Rattus norvegicus: one gene and its partner. The protein of the gene in region 2 purifies or fractionates together with the protein of the main gene of each other region. This does not show direct contact. Links are inferred from orthologs where the notes say so. Each region holds a gene or a part of one and is shown on either strand. Other genes may lie near its edges.

The links. Proteins that work in one complex are often made in the same cells at the same time.
Region 1: the proteins of Zfp346 (region 2) and Krr1 purify together in Homo sapiens (affinity purification with mass spectrometry; 3 studies listed by BioGRID and IntAct, with this or other methods). This does not show direct contact. The link is inferred for Rattus norvegicus from reciprocal best matches to the Homo sapiens genes ZNF346 and KRR1.

The regions. Positions count from the first base shown.
Region 1 is NC_086025.1:49,360,557-49,364,595, reverse strand, and holds the start of Krr1 (KRR1 small subunit processome component homolog), read right to left. Parts: upstream 2,803-4,039; 5' UTR 2,660-2,802; coding exon 2,578-2,659; intron 2,411-2,577; exon of another isoform or gene 2,260-2,410; intron 46-2,259; coding exon 1-45. UniProt on the Homo sapiens protein: Part of the small subunit (SSU) processome, first precursor of the small eukaryotic ribosomal subunit.
Region 2 is NC_086035.1:9,525,943-9,530,198, forward strand, and holds the start of Zfp346 (zinc finger protein 346), read right to left. Parts: upstream 2,809-4,256; coding exon 2,634-2,808; intron 1-2,633.

The DNA.
Region 1 (4,039 bases), on a different chromosome or scaffold from region 2:
CTGGTTCCTTCCAACCATCAGGTACAGTGAGGAGCTCTCCCTCATCTACAGAAGAAAGAATTTACACATCACATGTCAATGGCCTCCACACACACGGTGCACATTCTGTGCACATCTTCATAACATTTCCAATGTACTGTATCCGTTTCCCTGAGTTTTAAATTTTTCAGCATCAGGACCATGGCTCTATCATCATCATCATCACCATCACCATCACCACAACCACAACCACCATCACCACCATCACCACTATCACCATCATGCTGTAATAGGACCACCTGAATACACGGTGGTTGCCTAATCAGAACAGTTCTTTGAGAAAAAGGACACTTCCTTGTATCCACTGTAACTGGAATGCATTAGTAGATAACAATTACTAAGTCACCTTCACTGCACTATAATGTGGTTCAAACACCCTATTACCACCTTTATCCCTTATTATTAGTAACCTTTCTGACTTTTCCTGGTATAGAGACCCACCCCCACATGACTGTGTGTATGTGTAAAATTCTTAAAAGTGGATTCTGGTGTACCATGTCAATTAACAACCACTGTGATAGAATTTTAGGTTTTCTAAAGAGCTTTCTGCACACCTTTCAACAGTAAAAGAAAAGGCACTGTTTCTATTTCCACTTTATAGGAGAAAATATTAAAACCGAAAGGACTGATGTGCTAGAGGGACAGACACTGAAATGGCCTAGAATCCTGACAACTATATGAGATCACCTCTGGAGAGCCTGAGCCACTTCTCCAAACTCTCTGTCCCAGGTCTTTACAAATCCCTCAAATCCAATAGCTACACATTAACTAGACCCAAAGAGAAGCAACCATCCGTGATCTTGTAGCATCTGCACACCTATGGAAGTCTGTGGGGTATGCCATCTGGGGCTCCTTCCCAGAGATCTGTGCTTAAAGAATCTCATTCTGTCCTCGGTAAACCACTGAGGTCTGAAAGGCAAGGCCCTTGGCCCATGCTATCAGCCCCACTTAAGAAAATGTGCTTTTTACTTCCACTCACATCCACTCTGCGACTCCTGGTTCAAACTCCTGACAATGGGTCCTCATAAACCATTCATTCTTCAATACCTTCATTTTAAGAATGCAAACTAATATCCTATAAAAACCGGGAACATGAATTGTATTCTGAGTGTGTACTGATCCAAGTTAAACAGTGCTGTCAATCCGTAAAAGGGAAAGGAGACCCCTACAAAATCACTGAAACAGGCAAAAGAAATAAAAGCCACATTCACAACCCCGGAAGCACTAATAGCCCCAAAACATGTGAAGCTGTGCAACTCCATCAGCCACTGGTGAAACCCAATTATAAACACAATCAGATAAAATTTCTTATCTACCAAACTACCCATTTTCAAAAGTGAAATTAAAAAAATCACTGTAAATTTGGAACAATGAGAAATTTCATCTATTAGGGAGTTGCACTGGCCCAGCTTCCCCACCATGGTTGACTTTGCCCTCACACTGCGAACCTAAACAAACCTTTCCTAAAACAAAGACAAAAACCCGGCACAGCTCCTTCCAGTAGCATTAGCATAACTTGAAGATACCCTGCAATTCAGTGTCTAACCCTTTGTTCCTAAAGAAACGCTTGGGCATTACCAGAAGACATTCGCAAAGGTGCTTACAAGAGCAAGCTCAAGGCAGAGCTCAAATGTCCACCAACGGGGGAATTTAAATATTACACAGCATCACACCTACAAACATCACCTTGGTTAAATAACCAGAGAAGCTAAAAGACACAGCATGCATGGAAGCTCCTTTCGTTCTCCTGTGATTCAAAGGCAAAAATCGAAGCGTCACGTTAAAAATCATCACGGCGGTAGATAGGTAAATTCGATGAATTATTCGGGGTACCAGAAAAGACGCTATTATCTGTGATTGGCACATTGGAAACTTGTCAATTCCTCAAACGTTGGTTTGAGCTTTAACCGGCGTCTATTTTACGTACTTGCCGTACTTACCGTACTCAGTTTTTAAATGCAACAGTTACAAAAACATTTTCATATTGAAGGTAGATTAAAAACAAAACTATCACCATAATTCAAGAAAGCAACCAAACTAGGGCAGCAAAAATCAAACTACCGGTCAAAACTAAAGACTGAGCTGCGCCATCTAGCAATTTACTAATCAGATAAAAGTTCTGACAAAACTTCCCATTTACCTCCCTCCCCACCTTTCTCTGTCCGCCTCACTCACTCTTCACCCTCAACGCTCACCGCACAAGAGGATTATCTTGCCCACCTGATCCCGATCCGCATCCTCTCAACTTTCCCTCCCCATAGCTCAACAAAGTACGGCCGCGCCTTCCACAATTTCTGATTCCTGGTGCTTTTACCGGAGCCAGAAGGCACTTCAGCTACTCTTAACAGGGACAGTCCCTGGCAAAAACAGAGTTAGAACACGTGGCCGGCGCAGTCAACACCCCCCCTAGTCATCGGGAATTGCTCCTGCAGGCACTGAACAGTCTAAAGGAGGCTTAACCCAAGCGCGCAGCCAAAGAAGGAAAAGCGATGCTTCGAAGTCCCCCAGCTCCAGGTTTCGGTTCCCGCACTACCTCACCTTGGTTCTCACGCTTCTGTTTCTGCTGCCGAGAGTCACTTTTTCGAGCTTCTTTGGCAGGCGTGTCTACAGAAGTTGCCATCTTAAAATTGCTTCCGGTGCTACCGGAAGTGGAACTGTCCTTTAATCCCGCCGGCTACAGCGTCTCTAACGCAAAATGAGTTCCGCATGATCCGGACAAAATCTGCGCGGTCTCTACTCAGACCAACACGAAGCCAAAACAGTAGCGTGACACTTCCTTCCCAGGATGCATTGCAGCCTCGGCATTGCAAGCTGGGAATTGTAGTTTTCTTGTACCAAGCTCTAAATTGTAGCTGCTTGTAGCCCCATAGGAAAGAAAGGGAGAGAAGAGAAAGGGAGTGAAGGACAGGAGAGAGAAGAGAGGTTGGTGAGGGAAAGGGAAAGAAGATAGGGGAAATTATTAAAATTCCTATTTGAGGAGGATTAGAAATCTAATAAAAATGGTGAATTGTATCTAAAATTTACCCATACTTTGTTGCTACTCTTTAGCCTATTTGAAAACCTACCTTGAGTTTTGTACTTTAAATCTCTTAGCTTAGAAGACTTTTCCATTTTATTTTTATTTGTTTGTTTGCTTGTCTGTCTGTTTGTTTGTTTTGGTTTTATGACTCGAGGTCTCACTATGTATCGTTCCCTGGAACATGCTATGTAGAGCTGGCTGGCCTCAGAGTCATAATGATCTGCCTACCTATGACTCCAGAATTTGGGATTAAACGTGTGTACCACCACACCCATCTTCAACATTCAAATGTTCGTGGGTTTTTTTTTTTTTGTGGGGATTAAGGGGAGCTGTTACCAAAACTTTATTGCTTATTATTCTTACATCATAACTTTAAAAGGCTTAGGGTGTAGTCATTAAAAACAAAAAAAGCACAAAAATATATTCAATAAATTAGACCCTAAGATGTGGAGAGATGTAACCTGGGTCTGGAAACATGTGAGGACCTCCCCTTCTGAGCCATGCTCTTCCCAACCTCCAGGAAGCATTTAATAAGCACGTGGGTCAATAGGCCAGATAAAGGAAAGAGAGAGGAGTACTCACATATACTTAGTAAAACTGAGACATCGAGAATAATATTTCAGGAGCTAAGATCAGTGGTTCTCAACCTGTGGGTTGTATGAATCCTTAGAGAGTCAAATGACCCTTTCACACGGGTCACCTAAGACCATCAGAAAACACAAATATAAACATTATAATTCATAACAGTAGCAAAGAATTATGAAGCAGCAACGAAAGAATGCTGTGGTTGGTGGGCACCACAAAACGCGGAACTATGATAAAGAGTCGCAGCATTAGGAGGGTTGATAACTTCTAGGTTCCACTATGTTTTAAACAAATTTTAAGGGAAATTCTCTTGTGTATAAACTGGTGCCTTATAATGGCAATCCCATTCGAGTGGCTTTAAGAGTCAAACATAGGGCTGGGGATTTAGCTCAGTGG
Region 2 (4,256 bases):
GTGGACACAGGTCAAAGACTAAGGCAGACTCCTGAAGGAACGTTTCACTGAAGCAGACACAGGAGAGAGGCTGTTCTGCCAAGGCAAGCACCTGAAAGGGCATGTAATGACGAATTCTTTGCTAACAACAAATATGTACTGGTCTGTGTAGTTGAGCTGCATTTGTCAGGACTCCCTGGGACTCAGGCTGACGGGATGCACGTGCTGAGGCAGGGCACAGTGGAAGACGTGTGGTGTTTGGAGGGTATAAATAGGACTCCATGGAGTGACAGAGACAGAGCTTGGCTTGCTGGTATAGCTAGCTGTGCAATGCTTGTGTGTCTTTGCTGATCTTCGCTCCTCTGAGAGAGGAACAGCTGAGAACTTCTCCTGCTGGTTCTTCCTGCTGACTTGAGCTGAGCCTGAGGTCTGGCTATCTCTGCTAGGTCATGTCATTGCTGTTGCTAACCTGACTGTACCGAACTAGACTGTACCGACTAGAAGTGTTTGTGAGTGGATCGAGATGTCACTGCTAGCCTATGAACTGCCGGTTTCCAGACAACACAGACAGGAGGTGTTCCAGAGAACCTTTTCTACACAGGTCCACTTCCCTGTATCCTTTCTTTTCCACTACCTCTGGTGGGTGGTGGGCTACAAGGGAGGTTAAAGCATTAAAAATAAGATTTGAAAAAAATTAATGTTACATAAGTGTTTGGTGTTTGTCTCCTGGACTGACTGTAAGCTACTCCAGAGTAAGAACAGTATCTTCATCCCTCAGGCTCTGAAGTCCAGCTGGCCCTGGGAACAGGGCAGTCATTAGGGAATGTCAAACTAATGAAAGGAAATCTGGGTTAAGGAGGCAACTGTGTACTACAATCTTTTTGAGGCAAGAGTCTTGTATAGCCCAGGCTACCCTCAAACTTGTTTTTTGTTTTTGTTTTTTCTCCCTGAAACAGAGTTTCTCTGTGGAGCCCTGGCTGTCCTGGGTCTGGCTCTGCACACCAGGCTGCCCTCGAATTAAGAGACTCACTGGACTCTGCCTCTTTTTTTTTTTTTTTTTTATTAACTTGAGTATTTCTTATATACTGGACTCTGCCTCTTAAGTGCTGGGATTAAAGGCCTGTACCAGCACTGCCAGATTCAAACTTGGTATTTAACTGAAGCTGGCTTGAACTCCTGATCCTGTCTCCACCACCTGAGTGCTGAAAATGACATGCATGTGCTACCACACCTGGCTCAAAAAATGCTTAAAATACTAAAGAAGAGACTCAGAAACGACATATACATTTATTTAGGAGCCAGAATGAACAGATTGGAGATGTATATACACACTTAAATCCAACGTATCTTGGTGTCAGAGAGATGCGCTCAGTGGTTAAGAGCATTTACTGCTTTTCCAGAGAACCAGGGTTCAGTTCTCAACACCCAGTCAAAGCATATAATGTTAACTCCAGTTTCAGGGTTTATGGTACCTTCTCTGATACCCTTGGGTACCTGGCATTCATATACACATACATGCAGGCGAAACAATTGTCACATAAAATAAAAACATTCTTTAAAAAAAATTTAAACATATCTCCCTTGAATATGGTAAAAAAAAAATCCTATTTTATCCAGGGCAAGCAGTTCACAAACACAATAAACTTCCCAAAATTAGCCTGCTCAGCAATCAAAATAACCAGTACAGAATTCCTGTTTCTCTGCAGAGATCTGATAGGTTAGCACAAAACCCCAGATACAGTTCCTGTACATTTGGGTTAGTAGTAAGTAGTTGGAAAGGTCTCTGGAGAGCCAGAGAAAGAGGTCAGCTTGCTCTGCACTCCTTTAGCTCCCTTGTTACCCACCCAGTTTTGGGTCAAACAAAGAAATCTGCCAAGTTTCTGCCCAGAAGTGCACTCCAAGTGAATACACTGTCTTCTACAGCTCTGCATACCGCGTGAGATGAAGCAGCCAGAGGCAAGTTTTCCCCGCTCCTGGGCCTCCTCTGTGGAATAAGATGTTGGCAACAGACATACAAATACTGTATCGAAGGACATAGTGGTGCAAGCCAGGAATGCCCACACTAAGGAGACTGAGGCAGGAGACTCATGCAAGCAAGTTCAAGGCCAGCCAGGTCTACCTAGGAAGAACCATGGCAAGTCAGGGCACAGTCACCAAGCCCGGGAGGAAGCTGGGATTCAGGAAGACCTTCCAAAGCTCACACTTGTCCTGTCACTCCGAGGCTGATCCACCACGAGTTGGGCAGTGAGAGGTGTCACAAAATAAATGAAAATATAAAAAGTAAACTAAATGAAGCTATTCGGATCGGTCAGAACCGTAGGGCTTTGAAAGGGAAGAGAAGCAATGTGGGGTTATGGAATTAAGCACAGAGGGGAACGGTAGCTAGCTCGGCTACGAGTCAGGCTGGGACGGTCCTGGTTCGATCTCCAAGAGGACAAGACCTAGAATCTGGGGGAACTGTTCTCAAGTGAACGCCCTCGAAAGGAGGACGGAAAAATTCCGCAGGGCAGCGAGTTACGAGGCCCTGCACCCTTCACGAGAGCGAGCTCGGAGCTCCGGAACGTCGGGGAGAGGCTGGCCGGCGCCAAGGGGAGTGACAGAAGGCAGGCCATCCCGCCTCAGTCCAGCCGCGAACCCCGGAGCCCCCGACTCACCTTCCTCCCTCCCCGCCGGCTGTGCACCGGACACAGCTTCCCACAGGCGGCGCGCCCTCTCGCGGTCGAAGCGCACTCCGTCCGGTTCCCGACCCTCCGGCTCCTCGGAGCTCTTGTAAGGTCCGGCTCCACCAGGGTCCGCAGCCTCCGTAAAATCGGGCACAGGACACTCCATCTTTTCTGCAAGCCGCGCCGTTGAAGAGCTGCGCATGCGGCCCGCTACCTCAAGCAGTGGGTGGGCGGGGATGTGACCCGGCCAGCAACTCTCGCGAAGTTTGGGCTCTGCAGATCCCGCTGGGGCGGAGCCCTGAGGGGGCGGAACCCGAAGGGGCGGGGCCCCAAGGCTCGTTTTGGTACCTCTGGCTCTTTAAGATGAGTCCAGTGAATTGGAGAAATGGTGCAGGTTGCTCACTACGTCCAGGCCGCTTCCTTCCGAACAGTTCTTAGCTCAGGGCTCGCATCTTTGCTCACGGTGAGCCACTGAGGTACACTTCTCATTTCCTTTTGTTCCGTGTGGAAAAATTTCTCCCGTTTCTTTGGAAGAGTACCTAAGGCCCACATTCTAGAAGTGTTTTACTTAGGAGTTTGTTAAAGCAGACATAATGGTACAGGCTCTTCATTTCAATACATGGGAGGGGGAGGCCATAAGATTAGGAGCTTGAGGCCAGCCTGGGCTAATAAGCAAAAATGCTTATTAGGAACCGAGCAAGATGGCTCATACTTGCGGTTCCAAAATTTGCGAGATTAAGGTTAGAGAAATGCACATTCGAAAAAAGAAACTTTGTTCAAAAAAAAGATAGTTAAGGCTGTGGTCAAAATACTCTGGAGGACACAAGCTGACCAGGAGTTCAAGACAAACCTCCGCTCCAAGAATAGATCATCTCTCAACGAAACAAAACAAACCCACAAAACAAACAAAACCCCAAACAATAAAAAGGTAGAATGTAGTGCATGTCTGTAACTATGTCACTCTGAGGGCTGAGGCAGGAGGATTGTCATGATGCATTTGAGGCCAGTGTGGAGGCCATCTTCATCTTCATGTTAGCCACTTTATGGGGTATGGATGAGGGAGTTAGACCCTCTCCTTGGTCTGCAGTGTCTGATAAGCTTTTGGGCTCGTTTTCCCTGATAAGACTTTAATACACTCATCTGCCCTTACAGCCTCAATTCACTCTCAATAAATTTATGAGATAGCATCTTTTCTGTTCTCAGAAATAAGTCGTTTATCAATCTGTGCTGGTGAGTGGTGCCAAGCAGATCGTAGTTTGGGTCCACTGAGGAGTGCACTTAACTGCCTCCCTCAAAATGGAGTCAAAAGCTGCTTGTAAAACGGAATCTCCATCTATTTTACATGGTAGAAAACAAAACAAATCGTTGTTTTACATCATAATGAAATCAGATAGGTCACAGACTGGTTTTATATTGCTGTATTATTATTATTATTATTATTATTATTATTATTATTATTATTATTATTGAGACAGGATCTCAGGATCTATGTAGCCCTGGCTGTCCTGGGACTTATTATGTGGGACCAAACTGGCCTTGAACTCATAAAGATCCACCTGCTTCTGCCTCGCAAGCACTGAGACTGAGACTAAAGGTGTGTACCACCGGGGCTGG